Linked DNA regions of Coturnix japonica. The protein of the gene in region 1 interacts with the protein of each later gene in a pairwise test. Links are inferred from orthologs where the notes say so. Each region holds a gene or a part of one and is shown in the gene's direction. Other genes may lie near its edges.

Evidence for each region.
Region 2: the proteins of GADD45G (region 1) and ARPC5L interact in binary tests that used the Homo sapiens proteins (3 or more experiments, as listed by UniProt). The link is inferred for Coturnix japonica from reciprocal best matches to the Homo sapiens genes GADD45G and ARPC5L.
Region 3: the proteins of GADD45G (region 1) and TSNAX interact in binary tests that used the Homo sapiens proteins (3 or more experiments, as listed by UniProt). The two-hybrid records come from large-scale screens. The link is inferred for Coturnix japonica from reciprocal best matches to the Homo sapiens genes GADD45G and TSNAX.
Region 4: the proteins of GADD45G (region 1) and LRIF1 interact in binary tests that used the Homo sapiens proteins (3 or more experiments, as listed by UniProt). The link is inferred for Coturnix japonica from reciprocal best matches to the Homo sapiens genes GADD45G and LRIF1.
Region 5: the proteins of GADD45G (region 1) and AFAP1L1 interact in binary tests that used the Homo sapiens proteins (3 or more experiments, as listed by UniProt). The two-hybrid records come from large-scale screens. The link is inferred for Coturnix japonica from reciprocal best matches to the Homo sapiens genes GADD45G and AFAP1L1.

The regions. Positions count from the first base shown.
Region 1 is NC_029547.1:39,082,521-39,086,089, forward strand, and holds GADD45G (growth arrest and DNA damage-inducible protein GADD45 gamma), read left to right. Parts: upstream 1-1,368; 5' UTR 1,369-1,594; coding exon 1,595-1,647; intron 1,648-1,724; coding exon 1,725-1,826; intron 1,827-1,914; coding exon 1,915-2,128; intron 2,129-2,371; coding exon 2,372-2,482; 3' UTR 2,483-3,064; downstream 3,065-3,569. UniProt on the Homo sapiens protein: Involved in the regulation of growth and apoptosis. Mediates activation of stress-responsive MTK1/MEKK4 MAPKKK.
Region 2 is NC_029532.1:8,069,288-8,073,293, reverse strand, and holds the start of ARPC5L (actin-related protein 2/3 complex subunit 5-like protein), read left to right. Parts: upstream 1-1,204; 5' UTR 1,205-1,252; coding exon 1,253-1,392; intron 1,393-1,812; coding exon 1,813-1,885; intron 1,886-2,404; coding exon 2,405-2,581; intron 2,582-4,006. Other genes in the region: PPP6C (serine/threonine-protein phosphatase 6 catalytic subunit), read left to right, coding at 522-770. UniProt on the Homo sapiens protein: May function as component of the Arp2/3 complex which is involved in regulation of actin polymerization and together with an activating nucleation-promoting factor (NPF) mediates the formation of branched actin networks.
Region 3 is NC_029518.1:35,684,664-35,688,179, reverse strand, and holds part of TSNAX (translin-associated protein X), read left to right. Parts: coding exon 1-73; intron 74-2,282; coding exon 2,283-2,413; intron 2,414-3,516.
Region 4 is NC_029541.1:1,449,719-1,453,052, reverse strand, and holds part of LRIF1 (ligand-dependent nuclear receptor-interacting factor 1), read left to right. Parts: intron 1-398; 5' UTR 399-411; coding exon 412-1,914; intron 1,915-3,334. UniProt on the Homo sapiens protein: Together with SMCHD1, involved in chromosome X inactivation in females by promoting the compaction of heterochromatin.
Region 5 is NC_029528.1:10,486,765-10,490,280, reverse strand, and holds part of AFAP1L1 (actin filament-associated protein 1-like 1), read left to right. Parts: coding exon 1-19; intron 20-144; coding exon 145-356; intron 357-467; coding exon 468-613; intron 614-1,165; coding exon 1,166-1,244; intron 1,245-1,363; coding exon 1,364-1,478; intron 1,479-1,678; coding exon 1,679-1,843; intron 1,844-2,073; coding exon 2,074-2,252; intron 2,253-2,465; coding exon 2,466-2,594; intron 2,595-2,988; coding exon 2,989-3,012; 3' UTR 3,013-3,516. UniProt on the Homo sapiens protein: May be involved in podosome and invadosome formation.

The DNA.
Region 1 (3,569 bases):
GGCCAATTTAATGGCAAAATGTGCTTCATGGTGCCTGCGTGGCACTGATGTGTGGTGGGCCCACCCTGATACTGAATGACCTGAAGCACTCAGCAGCAGAGCTACCCAGGACGTGGTGCTGTCAGTTCTCCACCAGACAAAAGAACTGTCTGCAGCACAGAGTCTGCTGGAGTCTGTGGCTGCAGGGCACTGGGCTTGTGGGCAGAAATGGGAATTTGTGTGTTAAAGGTCTGTGGCTGCACACTGGGGCTGCTCTGAAATTAATGCCTCCCATTTTGTCAGCCCATGACATCAGAGGTGGAAGGTGGTAGTAGAGGTTGGACCTTCCCACCAACACTGCATTGCATTTTGTTGCTATGTGACAGCAGAGGGGCAGTCTGACAGAACAGTGTCTGACATGGAAGTGTGTATGGAGCAAAGCTGTGTCACTGAATTCCTCCATGCTGAAAAAATGGCACCTATCGACATTCATAGATGTTTGCTTATAGAGACCAAACAGTGGATGTGATCACAGTAAGGCAGTAGGTGGTGTGTTTCAGCAGTGGTGACAGTGATAGGTGGGTCATCTATCATAAAATCACAGAATGCTTCGAGCTGGAAGGGACCACAAAAGCCATCCAGTTCCAATCCCATGGGCAGTTTGTCAACCACCAGATCAGACTGCCCAAGGCCCCACCCATCTGGCCTTGAATGTCTCCAAGGATGGGGCATCTAGACCTTCTCTGAGCAAGGTCAGCTGGCGTAGATGTTTACGAACATGAGATGAAGGCTCTTGTTCACTGCTGGTGAAAATGAAAAGCTAAAGATGGTGACTATTGAAAATATGTGTTTTGAAGCTGAGAATTTGCTCCATCAAACAGTGCTATTGCACTCTTTGTTGTAATTTCTACGGAAATAAAGAGGAGTGACCTATGTACCTGGAAGAACAGATTAAGGTGATGCACACTGACCCCGTAGCAGCAGCTCAAGTCATGCCATTTAAGGGAGTGCAGCAGGTAGCAATGCAGACTTTCAAGCTGAGAATGCCTTTGAGCACTCATAGAATCACAATGGCTGCAAAAGACCTGAGATCACCAAGCCCCACCGCCAACCCACCCCCACCACGAGCACTAACCCAAGTCCCTCAACGCTTCATTCACACGATTAATGAACACCGCCAGAGATGGTGACTCCCCCACCTCCCGAGCAGCCTCAGCACAACTGTTAAGAAGGAACCCTCCTACCCCAGCATCCCCAAGGCAGCAGCACGGTGCCACGCAGCAGCTGTGGGCCCCCTCCCGGCACACGCCTTCCCCGTGCCCGCGGATCACGCCACCACGCCGCGGCCGTGGCCGCCCTCCCTGCGCCACCACGTGTCCCCCCGGCACGAGCCGCCCCCACCTCCCGCCCGGCGTGCGGCCATTAGCATGACAAAGCGCTCCCCCGGCTCCCCGTCCGCCAATGGGAACGCACCGGCCGCCGCCAGCTGCCAGCGCCGGAGCTCCGCGGGCTTAAAAGGAGCAGGAGCCGCTGGAGCTGCGGCAGGACGTGGGTATTGGGTTGTTGGGAGGAGCTGGGGGTTATCGGTGACAGCGCTGCTTGGCGACACGCTGCTATGACTCTGGAAGAGGCGCAAGGACAGGAGCCGGTGCCCGCGGGCAAGGACTGGTAGGCGGTTGGCTGGGAGGTGGGGTGGCCGTTGTCCGGGCGCTGGTGACGTGCTGACCGCTCTCTCCGGCTTCCAGGATGCAGGGCGCCGGCAAGGCCCTCCACGAGCTGCTGGTGTCGGCGCAGCGCCGCGGCTGCCTCACTGCCGGCGTCTACGAGTCGGCCAAGCTTATGAACGTGTGAGTGGGGTGAGGGGGGGCGGGCAGCGCGAGTGGGGCGAGGGGCAAGGAAGCCCTACTAGGGCCTAACGGTGCTCGCCACCCGCAGGGACCCAGATAACGTGGCGTTCTGCGTGCTGGCGGCCGATGAGGAGGACGAGGGGGACATCGCCCTACAGATCCACTTCACCCTCATCCAGGCCTTCTGTTGCGAGAATGACATCGACATCGTGCGTGTGAACGACCTACCCAAGCTGGCTGCTGCCGTGGGATCCAACGAAGAGTCTGGTGAGCCCAGAGACCTGCACTGCATCCTCATTACGGTGCGTGGCTGGGACTGGGAGGGATGGAGCTCTGTGGGCTGGCCGGGCTTAGCCCTTGGGGTGCAGAACTGCTGAGATACAGGGGGCGGTGCTTCTGTAAAGGGGGTTTCACTGCCACCCACATTGGTGACAGCTCAGCTTCCTGCTCTTTGTCTCTGAAAATGCTTTGCTTTTTAAGCTAGTGCTTCTGTAAAATAATACTGTGACTTTGTGCACTCATGGTGTGCGATGCTTTTCTACCAGAACTCAAATGAAGATGGCTGGAAGGATCCAGCTTTAGAGAAGCTGAACTGCTTCTGTGAAGAAAGCCGGAACGTCAATGAGTGGGTGCCAACTATTGTCTTACCTGAGTGACTATGGCCTGGCATGCTGGGGAGGCTGAAACCTCTGTTGCATTCTCAACGTGGTGTTGGTTCACCGAAGTGTGCAACAAGCTGCTGATTCCATGGATTAGCCTGGTCAAGGGACTGGATTACAGTCACTCAGACTGGCATGCTGTGGGCTCTTACAGAGGAGAAAGGAAAAGAATAGCTCACCTCATCAGTGGGTGTCAGTAGACTGCAGCTGTGTGGAAGATAATGTACTATGGAACTGAAACGAGTATTGCAAGTTTCCTGGTCAAGTGGATCTGTTTCAGAAAGCAGAGAAAGTTAGGGGAAGTGGTCCAAAACTTCACAGGATTGAACAGTACTGTGACTATAAGCTGTTGGTGCTGTCTACAAAACATGAAGAGAAGCAAGCTTCAGTACTTCTTGGACTTTTAGAGACTAATTATCAAGGCAAATACAGACACTCTTAAAGCAGACAGACTTCAACAGGCCTCTGGGCCAGTGTACTGGTTTAATAATGCAATAGTTTTTTTGTTTTTTTGTTGTTTTTTTTTTTTTTAAACGTTTGCTGCTATGGAAGCTTTCATAATAAATTTTTGACACTTAATTTCTGTGAGTATCTGGCTTACTGGGTGGGGAAGCATGTCACTGCAATACCACTGCTGCTTTGCTCATGTACTGTAGTCAAAGGTATACTCAACAGTAATAGGGATGTTGCTCACATGCTTTCTCTCTGGGCCCAGCTGGATCACAAGTGTGCTTCCCAAGTTGATAATCCAGCTTTTCACCCTCTGCAACAGCTTGCGAGACTAAAGAGCTGCATACTTAATGAGCTCATTTATTGTAGTATGTTGTCTTTGCGGTCTGCTAGGGGATCACAGTCCATGCTAGAAACATGGATACTGGGAACACGAATCTCCAGTAAATAGCATCATTACATGTTAAATGAGTTACTCATTTGGAGCTATAGAGGTTTCTACATGGCAGAAGCAGCTCAAATGTGATGGTGACCTGAAGGTCTCCTTAGATGTCAAATACATGTAGTGTTTACTTTGATTAGACTTAGTTAGTTAGACCAAAAACTAATAGTGAATAAACATGACATTTGCTAT
Region 2 (4,006 bases), on another chromosome or scaffold:
TGCAACATAGTAAGAGGCTCAGACCCACTGAACTTCCCAGGCTTCTGAACCGGCCCTAAGATGAATCCCTGCCTCATGCAGTGTGTTGTTCTCTGCTCCTCTGCAGCATATTCAGGAGGGATTGAAAGGCGTGGGCAGTGCAGGCCTAGGCACCACGGCTGTCACAGGCAGGAGTGTTTCTCACTGTTCAGGTTTCAAAGCCCAAAGTTGCCCTCTGTGCTCTGACAGGAGCGGTTTGCTCCCAGCACCATCAGCTCAGTCCCAGCTCTGTGGGGGTGCTGGGCACACATGGCTGGGGCCGCAGAGCTGTGCTGGGAGCACAGGGACACAGGGAGTGTCCTTAGCACAGCCTGCACCTCTCAGAGGCCTTGGGAAAACCTCCCGGGTGGGTCAGTGCTGTCAGCGCTGCAGAGCCCAGAGCTGAGCCCGGAGCTGGGCCCACACAGCGCTGAGGAGCTCTGCTGGGCAGCAGCTGCTGCGCGGCCACGCACAGAGCTGTGACACGCCACTTTTCTTTGCAGTTTGTCCACATCAACAACCTGAAGCTCATCTGCAGAGCACATCAGCTGGTTCACGAAGGCTACAAATTCATGTTTGACGAGAAGTTGGTAACGGTGTGGTCAGCTCCCAATTACTGCTATCGCTGCGGGAACATCGCTTCCATCATGGTCTTCCAGGACGTAAATACGAGAGAACCGAGGCTGTTCCGCGCCGTCCCAGACTCAGAGCGGGTGATCCCTCCCCGGACAACCACCCCCTACTTCCTCTGAGCCGCCCCCGCCCTACAATATACTTTTTATTGAGCACTTTGCTGCTGAGATGCCGCCTCTGCCTTTTATCTTTAACTTATCGCCGTTCGTTGTCATTGCGCTGCGCAGCCGTTTCCCCGCCCTCCCCCGGATCCATTTGTGCGGATCCGAACCGCTCGTTGTTCGTTTCTCCGCTGAGCGGCGCCGTTCGGCTGCTCCCGGTGCTCCGTGCGGCTCCGTTCGTCTCCCGTAGATGTACGAGATTTCAGCAGCAAAGTTCCGCGGCCGTTGGTGCCGCCGCCCACTTTGTAATTAAAGGCTCGTTGTGGTTTTTCAGCGCCGTGTCGCTCCGTGGCGCCGGACGGGACGGGACGGGACGGGACGGGACGGGGGGGCGCACTCCGCTCCGCTCCTTCCTGCTCCGGGCGGGGCGGGCTCCGCGCTTCCGGTTCCGGCGGAGCGGCGGGGGAGGTTCCGGTTCCGACGGTTCCGGTTCCGTCGGCATGGCGCGGAGCACGCTCTCGTCCCGCTTCCGCCGCCTGGACATCGATCAGTACGACGAGAACCGCTTCGTGGAGGAGCCCGAGGAGGCGGCGGCGGCCGAACCCGACGCGAGCCCCGAGGTGGAGGCGCTGCTGAGGCAGTATCCTTCATGGCGGCACGGCCACCGAGCGCTGCCCGCGGGGCCTCGGGAAGGTTTGCGGGGCGGGAGCGCGGCCTGAGGCTGCTCGGTACTGCCCGGTGCTGCCCGGTATCGCCCGGTACTGCTCGGTACTGCTCGGTACTGCCCCGTACTGCCCGGTACTGCCCGGTGCTGGCTGGTATCGCCCGGTGCTGCCCGGTATCGCCCGGTGCCGCTCGGTGCTGCCCGGTGCTGCCCGGTGCTGCTCGGTGCTGCTTGGTGCTGCCCTCCGTGCTGCCCCCGGTCCCGTCCCTCCCCGCTGCCGTTGTGTGGCCGTAGTTCAGGTACCCGCTTTGCAGCGCCCTCCTCCCCTGCCCCCTCCCCTTATCGCTCCGTCCCGGTGCTCCCGGTGCCGCCGTTGCTCCTTGACTCTCGCCGTAGAGGCGAAGCGCTGCGCGCGCTGCACGCGGCCCTAAGGAACAACCCCGCACAGACGCGCAGCGCGGCCATGAAGGTGAGTGCGGCCCCGGGACCGGTAACGAGCGGCGCCCCCGGCGCTGACCTTGTGCTCCATGGCACCTCCCGTCCGTCTGCTCTTGAAGGACGGCGCTGCGGTTTGTGTGCGGGTGTCGCGGTGCTGCTGTAGGACGGCCCGGTGCTGCTGTGTGCCCGGGGAGCGGCCCGTGCTGTGGGGAAACGCGGCCGGCAGCAGCCGGGGGCTGAGAGGGAGCACAGAGCACAGCCCAGGGGATCTTGTGCTGCAGGAGCCGGACGTTGTTCGTTGTTCTCGGGCTGTAGGTTTGTTCTGCAGTGCAGTTCAGGTGGTTCCCCCCAGGTGGGAACACCAACAAGTCCAGTTTTAAAGCTCTCTGCTCTTCTTCCTTCTCACTACTGAAACTTAAAGTGTAAAACTTCCTCCTGTTTGGCTGCTGCATCTTCACACCATCAGCGCAGCCGCTGCTCCGAGTGCTTTGCTGCACTTGGGGTCACATCCAGCTTTGCTGATCCTAATGCCGTTTTCCTTCCTGTGCAGGAGCAGGCGCAGGGCACCATGCTCAGAGTCCTCACGTCTTTTAAGAGCAGTGAAATTGAACAAGCGGTGAACTCCTTAGACAGAAACGGGATTGACTTGTTAATGAAGTATATTTATAAAGGATTTGAAAAGCCGACAGAAAATAGCAGTGCAATATTACTCCAATGGCATGAAAAGGTGAGTGTTTGCTCTGGGCTCTGTTGTCACTGTCGGTGCTTTCAGGACCTCCTGGATGGGGAGGTGTGCGATGAGGGGGATCCTCCCTGAGGAGCAGAGCTCGGTGCTGCCTTTTGTTCTTGGCCTCTTGGTGTTGGGCGTATGGAGTTTCTGTGGTACTTCAGAGCTCTCCTCAGCCTGGAGGGATGGGAGGGGTGGGTGTGGCAGAGCAGCGTCAGCTGCAGGAAGGTTTATGACTTGTGTCTGGTGGTGGTTTCCCCCACAAGGAGCAGCAGCTGGGAGTGGAGGTGAGATTGATTGATTGATTGATTGAAGGTGCCTTTGGCTCATGGGGTGCCCAGGATGGCTCAGATGTGATGCTTTTTGTCAGTGAAACGCTGTGCTGAAGTACATCCGAGCTGACCAGTTATAGCAAACCTGCTCAGTTTGCACAGTAAAGGCTTTGATGCCTCAGTGGCACTTAGTGGCGTTTCTGTGGCAGGGTCGCAGCGAGGGGGGCTGTATGTGCTGTGCTCACAGCTGGCTGCTGGCCGGTCATTTGCACAGGGCGTGCTTCCTTGTGATGAGTTAAAACAAGTTGTGCAATGGTGACTCCAGCTCCTGGCAGCTGTCCCCAGCCTTGCAGAATATCGATAGGCAGGAGGGGGAGGAAATTGCACAGGAAGGAACATGTTTGTGCTTGACATTTTGTGTTGTTCTTCCTACTGGAGGCTCTTTTTGGGTCACCGTAGGTTGATACTCCCAGTACGTAACATTACACAAGACTGCCCTGACTGGAAAGAAGTCACTGCTCAGAACACGTAGACACGTGCAAGCATCTCTTCCCCTTTGTTTTCAAAGGAAAGCTGCAGTTGTGCAGTGTGCAGGGAGCTGCTTAGAGCTTTGTGTTCTGCTTTCCAGCAGTGCAGGCAGGACGTGCAGCTCACTCTGACTGTGGGCAGCAGCTCAGCAGCACCTGCCTGGCCCCTGGAAGGGCCTGATGCCATTTCTGCATCCGTCAGGTCTAATCTGAGCAGCTCCTCTGCGGCCCTCACTTACATGCATCTCCTCCTAGACTTTAGAAGAATGTTTCATTTTTATTAAGGATGCAAATGAAACCAGACTAAGCCCTTCCTCCTTTCCCCATTCAGGAGCAGGAGTGTAAGGTATTCTGCATCATCGGTGTCCTTCACTAGATGCAAGTCAGTTCATAAGGTTTTGTGTACTTTAGCCTTCAGATGTGGTGGGATGTGTTACAATGAGCTGTTTTGTCCACCCTTCATTTCCTTGCTTCTTAGATTTATAGCATGTTTAGAGAGTAGCGCTGTGTATGTACTGCAAAAACCTGGGTCAAAGAAGGAGCTCATCTGTACGTTCAGAGAGGACAGGGGGCATAGAGCTCCCGAGTTCATGGCCCAAGACAGGAACAGGCAAGGAGCTGAAATG
Region 3 (3,516 bases), on another chromosome or scaffold:
GGCTTGTGAAGCTCAGTCGTGATATAACAATCGAAAGCAAAAGAACAATATTTCTACTCCACAGGTATATCAGGTGAGTCCTCTGTCTGCCTGGAAAGCAAATGGGATCCTGGGCTCCATCAGGAGAGGGGTGGTCAGCAGGGATAGGGAGATGATTTCCCTCTCTACTCGGCTCTTGTGAGGCCCCATCTGGAGTACTGTGTCCAGGTGTGGAGCCCTCAGTACAAGAAAGACATGGAGATTTTGGAAAGGGTCCAGAGGAGGGCCATGAAGATGATCAAGGGGCTGGAGCACCTCCCCTATGAGGACAGGCTGGGGGAGTTGGGCTTGTTCAGCCTAGAGGAGAGAAGGTTGCGGGGTGACCTCATTGCAGCCTTTCAGTACCTGAAGGGAACTTACACCCAGGAGGGGAGTAAACTCTTCAAAAGGGCTGACAATAGCAGGACACGGGGAAATGGTTTTAAGTTGAAGGAGGGAAGATTTAGGTTGGATGTGAGGGGGAAGTTCTTCACTAGGAGAGTGGTTAGGCCCTGGAACAGGCTGCCCAGGGAGGTTGTGGATGCCCCGTCCTTGGAGGTGTTCAAGGCCAGGTTGGACAGGGCCCTGGGCAACCTGATCTAGTAAAGGTGTATGTTTGGTTGCCCTGCCAGGCAGGGGGTTGGAACTACATGATCCTTGAGGTCCCTTCCAACCTGGGTCATTCTGTGATTCTGTGAGTCACACTGAGTGTTAAAGTGTCTGTACAAACCTAGAAGCCGTCTTTCAGTGTTCTGTGTTTGTGACTAATAGCTGAGATATTTTGTTGAGAAAGATTAATTACCCATAAACATCCTTTAGCAACTGAATGCATGCACCAGTTAGAGAATTAATAGATACTGGCTGAGGTTTTTTAGTTGGTTTTATTGGAATGTTAAACAGGATCAAAGTAGTAGAGTATAACAGCAGATGAGAGCTTATCAGCTTCCAGCAAGCTGGCAGAGAAGAACATGCAGCCTTCCTTCAGATTAATTGCCTCTGCTGTTATTTCCCCTTTTGGGTTCTTGTAACCTCACCTTCAGTAATCAGTGCAAAAAGCAGCCTTGATTGTTCACTGCATTCTGCAATCTAAGAGTCTTGTGCATAAAGCTTTGAACTTCTGTATGTTTTGTGTCCTCCTAAGCCTTCAGGCAACCACTGGAAGCCACAAACAAAGCAGGAAAAGAATGGGAAAATGTAGAGCTTCATGTACCCAGCTGAATAAAATATTTACTCGTTCTACGTGTAACTTCTATAAACAGCTCTCCCTGTTCCTTCTCCCAGATTTATTTTTTTCTTTCTTACCTGAACACATCTGTTTTGGTAGTATCTATTTTTAGTTACCATAGTAGTAACATTTATAAATAGATGTTAGGAAATTGCCCTCTTTTTTACTTGGTCTTCTGTGAGGAATTACTGCGATAATTCTGGTAACTGCCTCAACCTTGGCTGTGAATAGCTGTTCCCAGTGTAGGGAAAAGAACAATAATGAGATGCTCGTTAATTCTGAATTTTAGATTCCTGTTTTTAAGATACGTGTGTTTTTGTGAGAGTGGAAGCTTTCCGTGCTATATTTTGCTTTCCTAGTCCTTTGGTTTTAGCCACTGTTATGTCTTTACTTTCTGAAATCAGTTTGCTTTTAAATGTTTTCTTGAGACTAGTCTATCTGTAGTCTCCACATAGCCAGTAAACCTAATAATGTACTACATAGAGTTTGAGATCGGAACAGGAATGGTTTTAAAGGAAATTGGTTAAACTAAACATACATGCCAAGTATATATTGTTTGTAAATCAGATATTTCAGCCGTTCTTTCATAACACAGCTCATCATTACTGTCTAAAATGTATGTACTTAATGTGTGTTCTGTAATGTACTGCAGAATACCGATACTTTTGTTTTAAAGAGATTAATGAGCTTCTACAAAGACTGTTCAATTTCCAGCATACTCTTATGAAGCATTTACATGTATTTCTCATTGTTCTTACGTAAGCAATTGTTAGAATTATTATCTAGAATAAATATCATGCTACTGGAACTATGCTTGGCTGGCTGATTATTTTCATGACAGGAGTCTGCATAACCCATCTTTCAGAGTCTACAATAATTGTCAATGGAAGTTGAACCATTTCTGATTCCAGTATCTGCTCCATTTTTTTCCTTCAAGTCTATGAATGTGTATTAGTGATAGAAAACTTAAAACGTTTTTCTTTAACTGTCTGCTCGTATTCTGAAAGCTGCTGTTTGAATTTCTGCTTTGTGATTTCAGTGCTCCCAATGGTGAAGAAGTACTAAATGAATCTGAAGTCAAATTAGATGCTGTCAGACGGAAGATTAAGCAGGTTGCACAAGAGCTAATCGGTGAAGACATGTATCAGTTCCACAGAGCTATATCTCCCGGTAAATTATTTTACAATACAGAAAGTGCTGTTTTGCACTAAACTTGATATCTTGCCTAGCAGTGGTTCTTCTTCTTCATGCAGCAGGTTTGAACATAGCACATTTCTGTGGTTATAAAGCGGGATTCAGATTCATCTTTGTCGTTAGCAGAGTTAGTTCTGATACTGGAGAGACTATTATCACACAGACTTGTTAGTGTTGCTGTTAAACAAGGATTTGCTGCAACTGGATAACTTTGTACCCTGACCTACACTAAAGCTGGGAGTGGTTCTAATGTACGTACTGGTCAGTTGTCTTTGACAGTGTGCTACATGCTCATTTACCCCAGTTGAACAGGTTGTAACTTCAGGGAGGGAGAAGGAATGACTAGCTTGTGAAATTATACCTATGTGAATTCACAAAGTTCATGGCTTAAAATCCCTAGATTAGCATTTTCTTTCTTCTAAAGACTTGGAATATGCAATTTTTATGTTTCAGTTGCATCTTTTTTGCTCTTCTTTGTGAAATAGCAATCTTTATACCATCCCTGAGACACTAAGTACCAGTGCTTTCATCACTTTTGCTGACAAAAGATACTTTTTTTGCTATGGAATATGATTCTTACCTAAAATTCTTTTGCCTTGTTTATAGCAATATATAAGTAAAGTCTGTAACTGCTTCCTTCCCATCTTGGTCATGCTATGGAAGTATCTTGTATTTACCTATCTTATGATAGATATATCGGTTTCCTGTGCATCTTTCCTTGTTCAGACAAGAATCCTTCAGTAATTCTTCAGGGGAGAGCTGCTCAGATTTAATTTTTAAAATTATTTTACTTTTATAAGCTGGTGATGAATACACCTATGAAGAAATGTAATTTACAAGACAAACAGAGCGCAAGTTAACTTTTACTTATGTATGTGAACTTAGGGTCATCTAAGAGTGAGATGCTCTTAAGTGAAAGTTCAGTTTGGCACTCCTGAACTTGCCGTACTAGTTTTCAATGGTTCTAACTCAATTCCACAGCCTGCCTGTGGTGCTACATTTGGTTATTCAATTTAAGTGTGAGCAGTTACTCGTAGGAGAGACATTTACAACCTGTGTGAATCTTGCTGCCCTCTGTC
Region 4 (3,334 bases), on another chromosome or scaffold:
AAAGGCTATTCTGTGAAAGCTGGAGATAGCTGAGCAGAAGAGGAAGATAATTTGTTTCCTTGGGTCTTTAAACTCACTGGTTTCTGAGAAGGATGCTCTTTCTTGCTTCTCCATGGTGTAATTGCTGGATGTTATGTGCAGTCTGGTGCTCTGAAATGCTAACCCCAAACGTACAGTATGATCAAATTTTTGCCTCTGAAGTTGTTGAAAATCAGATCTGGATTTTTTTTTTGGTAGTCAGTCTGTTTCTAAGGCATAGCAGCACTGGATGTGCAATTCACTGATGGACATTAATTAAATTAGCTGTTCTGTGTTCACTTATACTTTCTTTTTTTTCTTTTTTTTTCTTCTTTTTTTTCTTTTTTTCCTTTCTTATCTCCTTTCTTTGTTTTGTTAAGCATTGCAGGCTGTATGTACCGAGTAGTTCAGACGACGGGACCAGATGGAAAAAACCTTCTGAAATTACTCCCAATTTCTAAATCATCTGGAAACTTTGTGCCAATAGTTCAGTCTTCGGCCATGTCAAATAATCCTAATATGAATGTTACTAGTCCAGTTCATCTTGCTTTTAAGACACAGCTTGCCAGTACTGCTGCACCTTCATCTGTTACGATACCTGTTTTTCAGTCTCCTAATTCTGGAAAGATTATCCTTGCAAGGACTTTAGACAAACAGGGAGGTGTTAGAGCAGGTTCTGATAAAGAAAGCTTGATGACAGAATCAGCTGCTGATGTCCAGAGTAGTTGTGTTTCAGTTGATAGACAGTCTTTGCAGAACGCTGCCATAACAAGTTCATCTGAACAGAGTCACACCGCATGCGTGTCAGTAAACAGAAAAGATAATCCCATTTCTGTGAAGCCTCCAGTACTGCCCTCTGGCCACCACCTCCAGATACCAGCAGATGCGGAAGTGAAATATATTCCAGCTTCTTTTTTACCAGCTTCAATCCAGCAAAAAATACTTGCCGCTGCAGCAACAAATGTGTCTGATGGAGCTGATAGTAAAAAAATGCCAACTGTGATTTATGTGTCACCCGTGAACGCAGTGAAAACAGCAGTTCCCAAGCGTTTGCAAGCTGTTGACCCCAAACCTGCCCCAGATGTTTCAAAAACGTTGCTAATGACATCTCCACAAGAGGCATGTAGCTCTTCTCCTGAGACAGGAACGTGTGATGGTCAGCAGTGCCAGCATACACCAATGAAATGGATTGTGCAAGAAGGTCCACAGTTGCCAGCGCCTTGCCTTGTTCCTGTAAAGTCATCAAATAACGTGGCTTCCAAGATCTTGAAAACTCTGTCAGATATGAAGAATGTAGAAGCTAGCTCTGCAAATATTTTGGCACTCTGTACTAGTGGTTCTGGTGTAAGCCAGACAAAAATCACATCCATTAAGGAAAATGCTCTGGTCATGTATAATGGGAAAGTCTATTTATTGACCAGGAGAGGCTCTGATGTTTTGACGGCCCAAGCTGACATGCAGACATCTTCCTCATGTGGTGCTTCGCTTAAAAAGGCAACATCCAAACTAATTGATTCTACTGAAGTCGCTAAAATAAGCAACAAAGTGGTGAATCTGTTATGGTCCAAAAGCAAAGGAATGCTGTTACCTCAGGAAGATCCTAAAGTGCATACAAACTCTAATGTTTCTTCACCTGGAGATTTAAGAAATGACTTAAAATCTGCACCTGCAGCTCTGGTGACTCCAAGTGTTGAGGAGGAGAGTTCCACTGTAAACCAGGGAAAGAGTTTGCCCTTCATGGAGAGCATCTCAAGTGGAATGACCCCAGTTACGGCATTAGGGATGCAGGAAAATACATGCCAAGATGGCAAGGAAATGATTCATTCCCCAAAAGCAGCAAGTGCTGTTTTACCTCAGTCTGAACACGAGTGTGCTTTCAGTGAAGACTTGCAAAAGGTAACTCCAATAAACGTGACCAATCTCAGTCTCTGCTAAATTGTTATATGCTCCTGGGTCTGTTTAAGTGAAATGGCTTTCTCATAAGTTGATGGACTGTTCTTACCTGGTAACCTGTCACCAGAAATGATGGTCTAAAGTGTGATATTTTATTTTTTTAATTCAAGAAAGATTATTTTTTTTTCCCAGTAAAATTGCTCTGTGCAAATGGGAAAAGGCATAAAGAAAAAAAAAAAAGGCAGGGACAAGATGTCTGTTTGTTTCTTCGCAATATTAGTTGTGGCACATGAGAGTATGGGCAAGCTGTTCAGCACTGGAGCTCTGGTTGCTCTCTGCTTTTTAACATAGCATCACTCACAGCATGGCCATTGGCTGTGAAGTAGGGAAGCTTGAAATGATGTGAAAGGAAGACAGGGCAGGCAAGCAGAGGTTGTCATTTTGAGACAAACTGGTGTTCCTCCTCCAGTTTCTGCTTGCTGATAGAGCCAAAGGCAAGAGCTGCTTTTCCTTTCTTTCACGCTGGGATGCAAGTGGGATCCTTTGTCTTATGGCTTGATCTTTAATGGCAACAATGCTGTCCCCCTTTTGACTGCCTATGTATTCTTTTAAAATCATAATGTAAGAAATATCTCAAATATCTGCAAATTCCTCAAACTCTGTACTTATGAGGGATTGGAAGTCAACATTTCAATTGCTCGCAAAGACAGGAGGATTTTGCCTCCAGGTGAAGAATCAGACCAAAGAGAAATGTCAGATAAGTGTGCGTATGCACATTTCAGGCATTTATTCATTGCAGTAGACTGTAGGACCTCTTCCTCACTTCCAAAAAACTGTTCAAGTAGACTTTTTTCATGAGGGCTTTATGATGCCAAGTGGTAGCATTTGAATTAATATCTGTGAAAAATAGCATTTCAGTTGTTGACTTTTGGTCCCTAACTTTGCAAGCCTATGAATGCCAGATGTAGCAACATGGGCCTGATCTTGGATATTAAAAAAAGCCAGTTCAGGTTACAGTGAGGATTAGATATGAGAGGTGTTAAATTGTGCTTTGTTGGAATTATCAACCATAATGCAAATATGAACTGATTTCAGCAGTCTGAAAGTGATGATGTATAGAAAACTGATCTTTGGTCATCTTCCTTTGATGCTTATGACCTTCAGGATAGTTGACGCCCTCGTTGCTTCTTTTAATTCATTAGTTTACTAGTTGGACTTTGCATTTACTGGATGTTGTGCAGTGTACCTGGTGTTTTAAGTAACTAATAAGAATGTTAGACCTTTGATAATCTGTCTTTAATTTGGCTTACATGTCTTAAATGCAACTTGTGGAAAAATAACAAATTGCCATTAGGGTTTTTAGTAAAATAAGGCTTTTGCATACATGGAGAGATTCATGGTTCTCTTACTGTTTCTGTATTGC
Region 5 (3,516 bases), on another chromosome or scaffold:
GAGGATATCCCATGCTGCGGTTTGTGGGGTTGGGGGCAGAAATGGGTTCTGAGGGGCTGTGGGGTGGGAGCTCCCATTGAGCTCATGGAGAATTAGGGCACTCCTTGGGGCTCCAAAATGGTGCTGAGACATTTCTATCCTCAGGCTACTTGAGCGTCCTGGTCAACCAGTGCTGGAAGGAGCGCTGGTGCCGCCTCAAGGCCAACACCCTCTACTTCCACAAGGACCGCACCGACCTGCGCACCCACGTCAACGCCATCAACCTCCGGGGCTGTGAGGTGGTCCCAGGGCTGGGCCCCAAACACCCCTTTGCATTCCGTATCCTGCGCAGTGGGCAGGAGGTGGCTGCGTTAGAGGTGAGCAGGGCACACTTCAGCCCCTTCCCTGCAGCGGGGCTTTGTGTTTTGGGGTAGGAGTGAGGGTCACTTGAAGCCAGGCATGCTCCCCAGCCCCTTCTCTTTTTACAGGCAAGCTGCTCAGAAGATCTGGGCCGCTGGCTGGGCCTTCTCTTGGTGGAGACGGGCTCCAAGACTGCACCGGAGGCTTTACACTATGACTATGTGGATGTGGAGACGATTGCTAACATTGTGACAGCCGTCAGGCACTCCTACCTGTAAGACTTTCCTCGTGCTGTGCTAAACCACGATGAGGTGGGATGGTGGGCTTCATCCTGGGCTCTTGGGCAGGGGCACAGACTGGGATGGGGTTTTCTCAAGATCCCAGGAGATAAAAAGGACATCCCAGAGGCTGTATTTCTCAAAGCAATGCATCTTCCCTTGGGCAGGACTGAAATTAGAAGGTGCTTTTTGAGAAGTTGTGGATACCCCATTCAAGGCCAGGTTGGATGGGGCCTTGGGCAATCTGATCTAGTGTCTGATTTAGTATTTGGCAACCCTACTTGTGGCAGAAGAGTTGGAATGAGAGGATTTCTGAGGTCCTTTCCAACCCAAGACATTTTATGATTCTACGACTGCATGATTCTTTATTAATGCTGACGAAGGACCTAAGGGATTTGTTTGCTTAGATAGGGCAGGGTGAGCAGACAAAAGCAAAGCTGTGTCCCTGCCCAGAGCTGGGAGAGCAGTGAGACTAAAGAGCCCGTTATGGGGCTGGCAGGGATGTCCTGGATAGGAAGCCCATGGCACATTCATCCCTTGTCCCACAGGTGGGCCAGCAGCTCCCAGGACAGCCGACCTGACTCCTCCCGTGTGGTGTACGATGATGTCCCCTATGAAAAGGTTCAGGTGAGCGTGACTCAGGGCCTTACCACGTCCCACCGCTGTGAAGGAGATGTCCTGGGGATGCTCGGTGGGTCGTGGCAGCCCCATAGATGTTTCAGTATGCTTTCCTGTCCCCGCTGCAGGCTGAGGAGGAGTCAGGACGGCCAGCGGGAGCCCAGGTGAAGCGCCATGCCTCCTCCTGCAGCGAGAAGTCGCGGCGAATTGACCCACAGGTCAAAGTGAAGAGACACGCATCAAGTGAGTGGGGGTCTGCCAGGGGACACTCAGAGTGGAGGAAGCCCCTGGCCTCTGTGTGGAGGCTGATCCCACCAGGGGGTCCTGGGTTGGGCTGTGCCAGCACAGTGGGACCATGAGGGGTATCCTTGCAGTTCATGTTGGGCTCAGGTGGGGCTTTCTTAGGCTGGAGTCATTGTGACTGGCTCTCTTTGTACATGCAGATGCCAACCAGTACAGGTATGGGAAGAACCGGGCTGAGGAGGATGCCAGGCGTTTTCTGACAGAGAAGGATAAGCTGGAGAAGGAAAAAGCAGCAATCCGCAGTGAGCTGGTACTGCTGCGGAAAGAGAGGAGAGAGCTGCGGGAAGCCATGAAAAGCAGCTCAGGTAGGTTGCATACTGTGGCTGAGGATGCTCAAAGGCACCCGGGTACGATGGGAAGGGCCCAGATGGGAATGCAAGGCTTGCAGTGTGGCTGTGACACTTGTGACCATGCTCAGGCTTGGCTGCAGCACACTGCTTGGCCAGCAGCCCCATCTAGTGTCACTACCCAAGAGAATGGATGACTGCCCGGCCTTGGTAACCTCAGCCACTGAACCAGGTACTTATGTGTCCAGGAGTGAAGCTGCAGGACCTGGAGCAGCGTGTGGCTTTGTTGGAGGAGCAGTGCCGGCAGAAGGAGGAGCGCCGCGTCGACCTGGAGCTCCAGCTAAGCGAAGTGAAGGAGCAGCTGAAGCAGTCGTTGGCAGGAGGGCCGGCCCTGGGGCTGGCTGTGACTGGCAAGGCTGAGAATGGGGTACGCACCTCTTTTTCCTTGCTCCTCTGGCACCTGCAAAGGGGTTTGGGGAGGGAATAAGCAGCAGTGGGGATGAGAAGACACCCCTGATCTTTATCACATTGCTGTTAGAGGTAGGAAGCAAAGCACTGACGTAAGCTTTGACTCCATGACGGTTTGTGCTTTCCTGGCACTTTCTGCTCCTTAGGTTTTGTATATCCTTCTTTTCCACAGGAAGCTACAAACAAGCCAAATGGGAGCCCCCCTGAGCACTTGGTTCCTGTTAACAGCGCAGCTGAACTGAGAAAGAGAAGCCCTTCCATCCTTCCTGCCAACAAGGGCAATGTGCTGAGGAAAGCCAAGGTCCTGCTTCATTCCTCCTCTCTTCCCTGGCTCCTAAGGAAATCTCAGTTTTTCATCCTGTCCCCATATATGACCAAGAATTTGGGGGACTGTGGATGCTCCTTACTCCAAACACAAGGGATGCAGCCTGGGTTGCATCTGGGCTGGTTCCCTTCAGTGGCAGAGGCTACTGATGTGAACTTACCCTGCAGGAGATTTGAGGGGCCCAGGGCTGGGTGGGCAGCAGTGAAAGTATTACCTCTTCAATGCCCACGGCAGCACTCACCAGCCTTTGGAGATGCTGGGGTGGTCCAAAGCCCCCGGGAGGGAAGGAGACACTCAAAGGGCTCAGTGCTCACTCCTCCAGCCTCTGATATCTCTTCATCCCCCTCTTTTTTTTTCTTTTCTCTTGCAGGAATGGGAAAAGAAGCAGACTTAAAGCAAGCAGTGGGAACATCTGCCAGGCTCCAATGGACACTGTGGCCCACTGAGGAGCTACAAGGCCCCACTCTCCCAGGCGTGGGGAGAAGTGCCCTCCCTTGCCCCTCTGCTACAGCACCTGCCACATGGGCAACACTATGGACTGTAGGGGAGGGGATTTACACAGAGGGGGGGGTGAGGCGCTGGAACAGGCTGCCCAGAGAAGCTGTGGATGCCCCATCTTTGGAGGCATTCAGCGCCAGGTGGGATGGGATCCTGGGCAGCCTGATCTAGAGGTTGGCAACTCTGCCCATGGTGGGGGGGGGGGTTAGGGTTAGGACGATCTTTAAGGTCCCCTCCAACCTAAGCCATCCTATGACTGGGGAGGCAGGTGGGGAACAGGAGTCCTTTGGTGATCAGGGTCATGTATTACTGGGGAACCTATCTCTGTGGCCAGGAGCTTGGCACAAGGCACATACCTGTGTGACACAGACAGCACGTGGGACAGATGCAGCCATCGGAC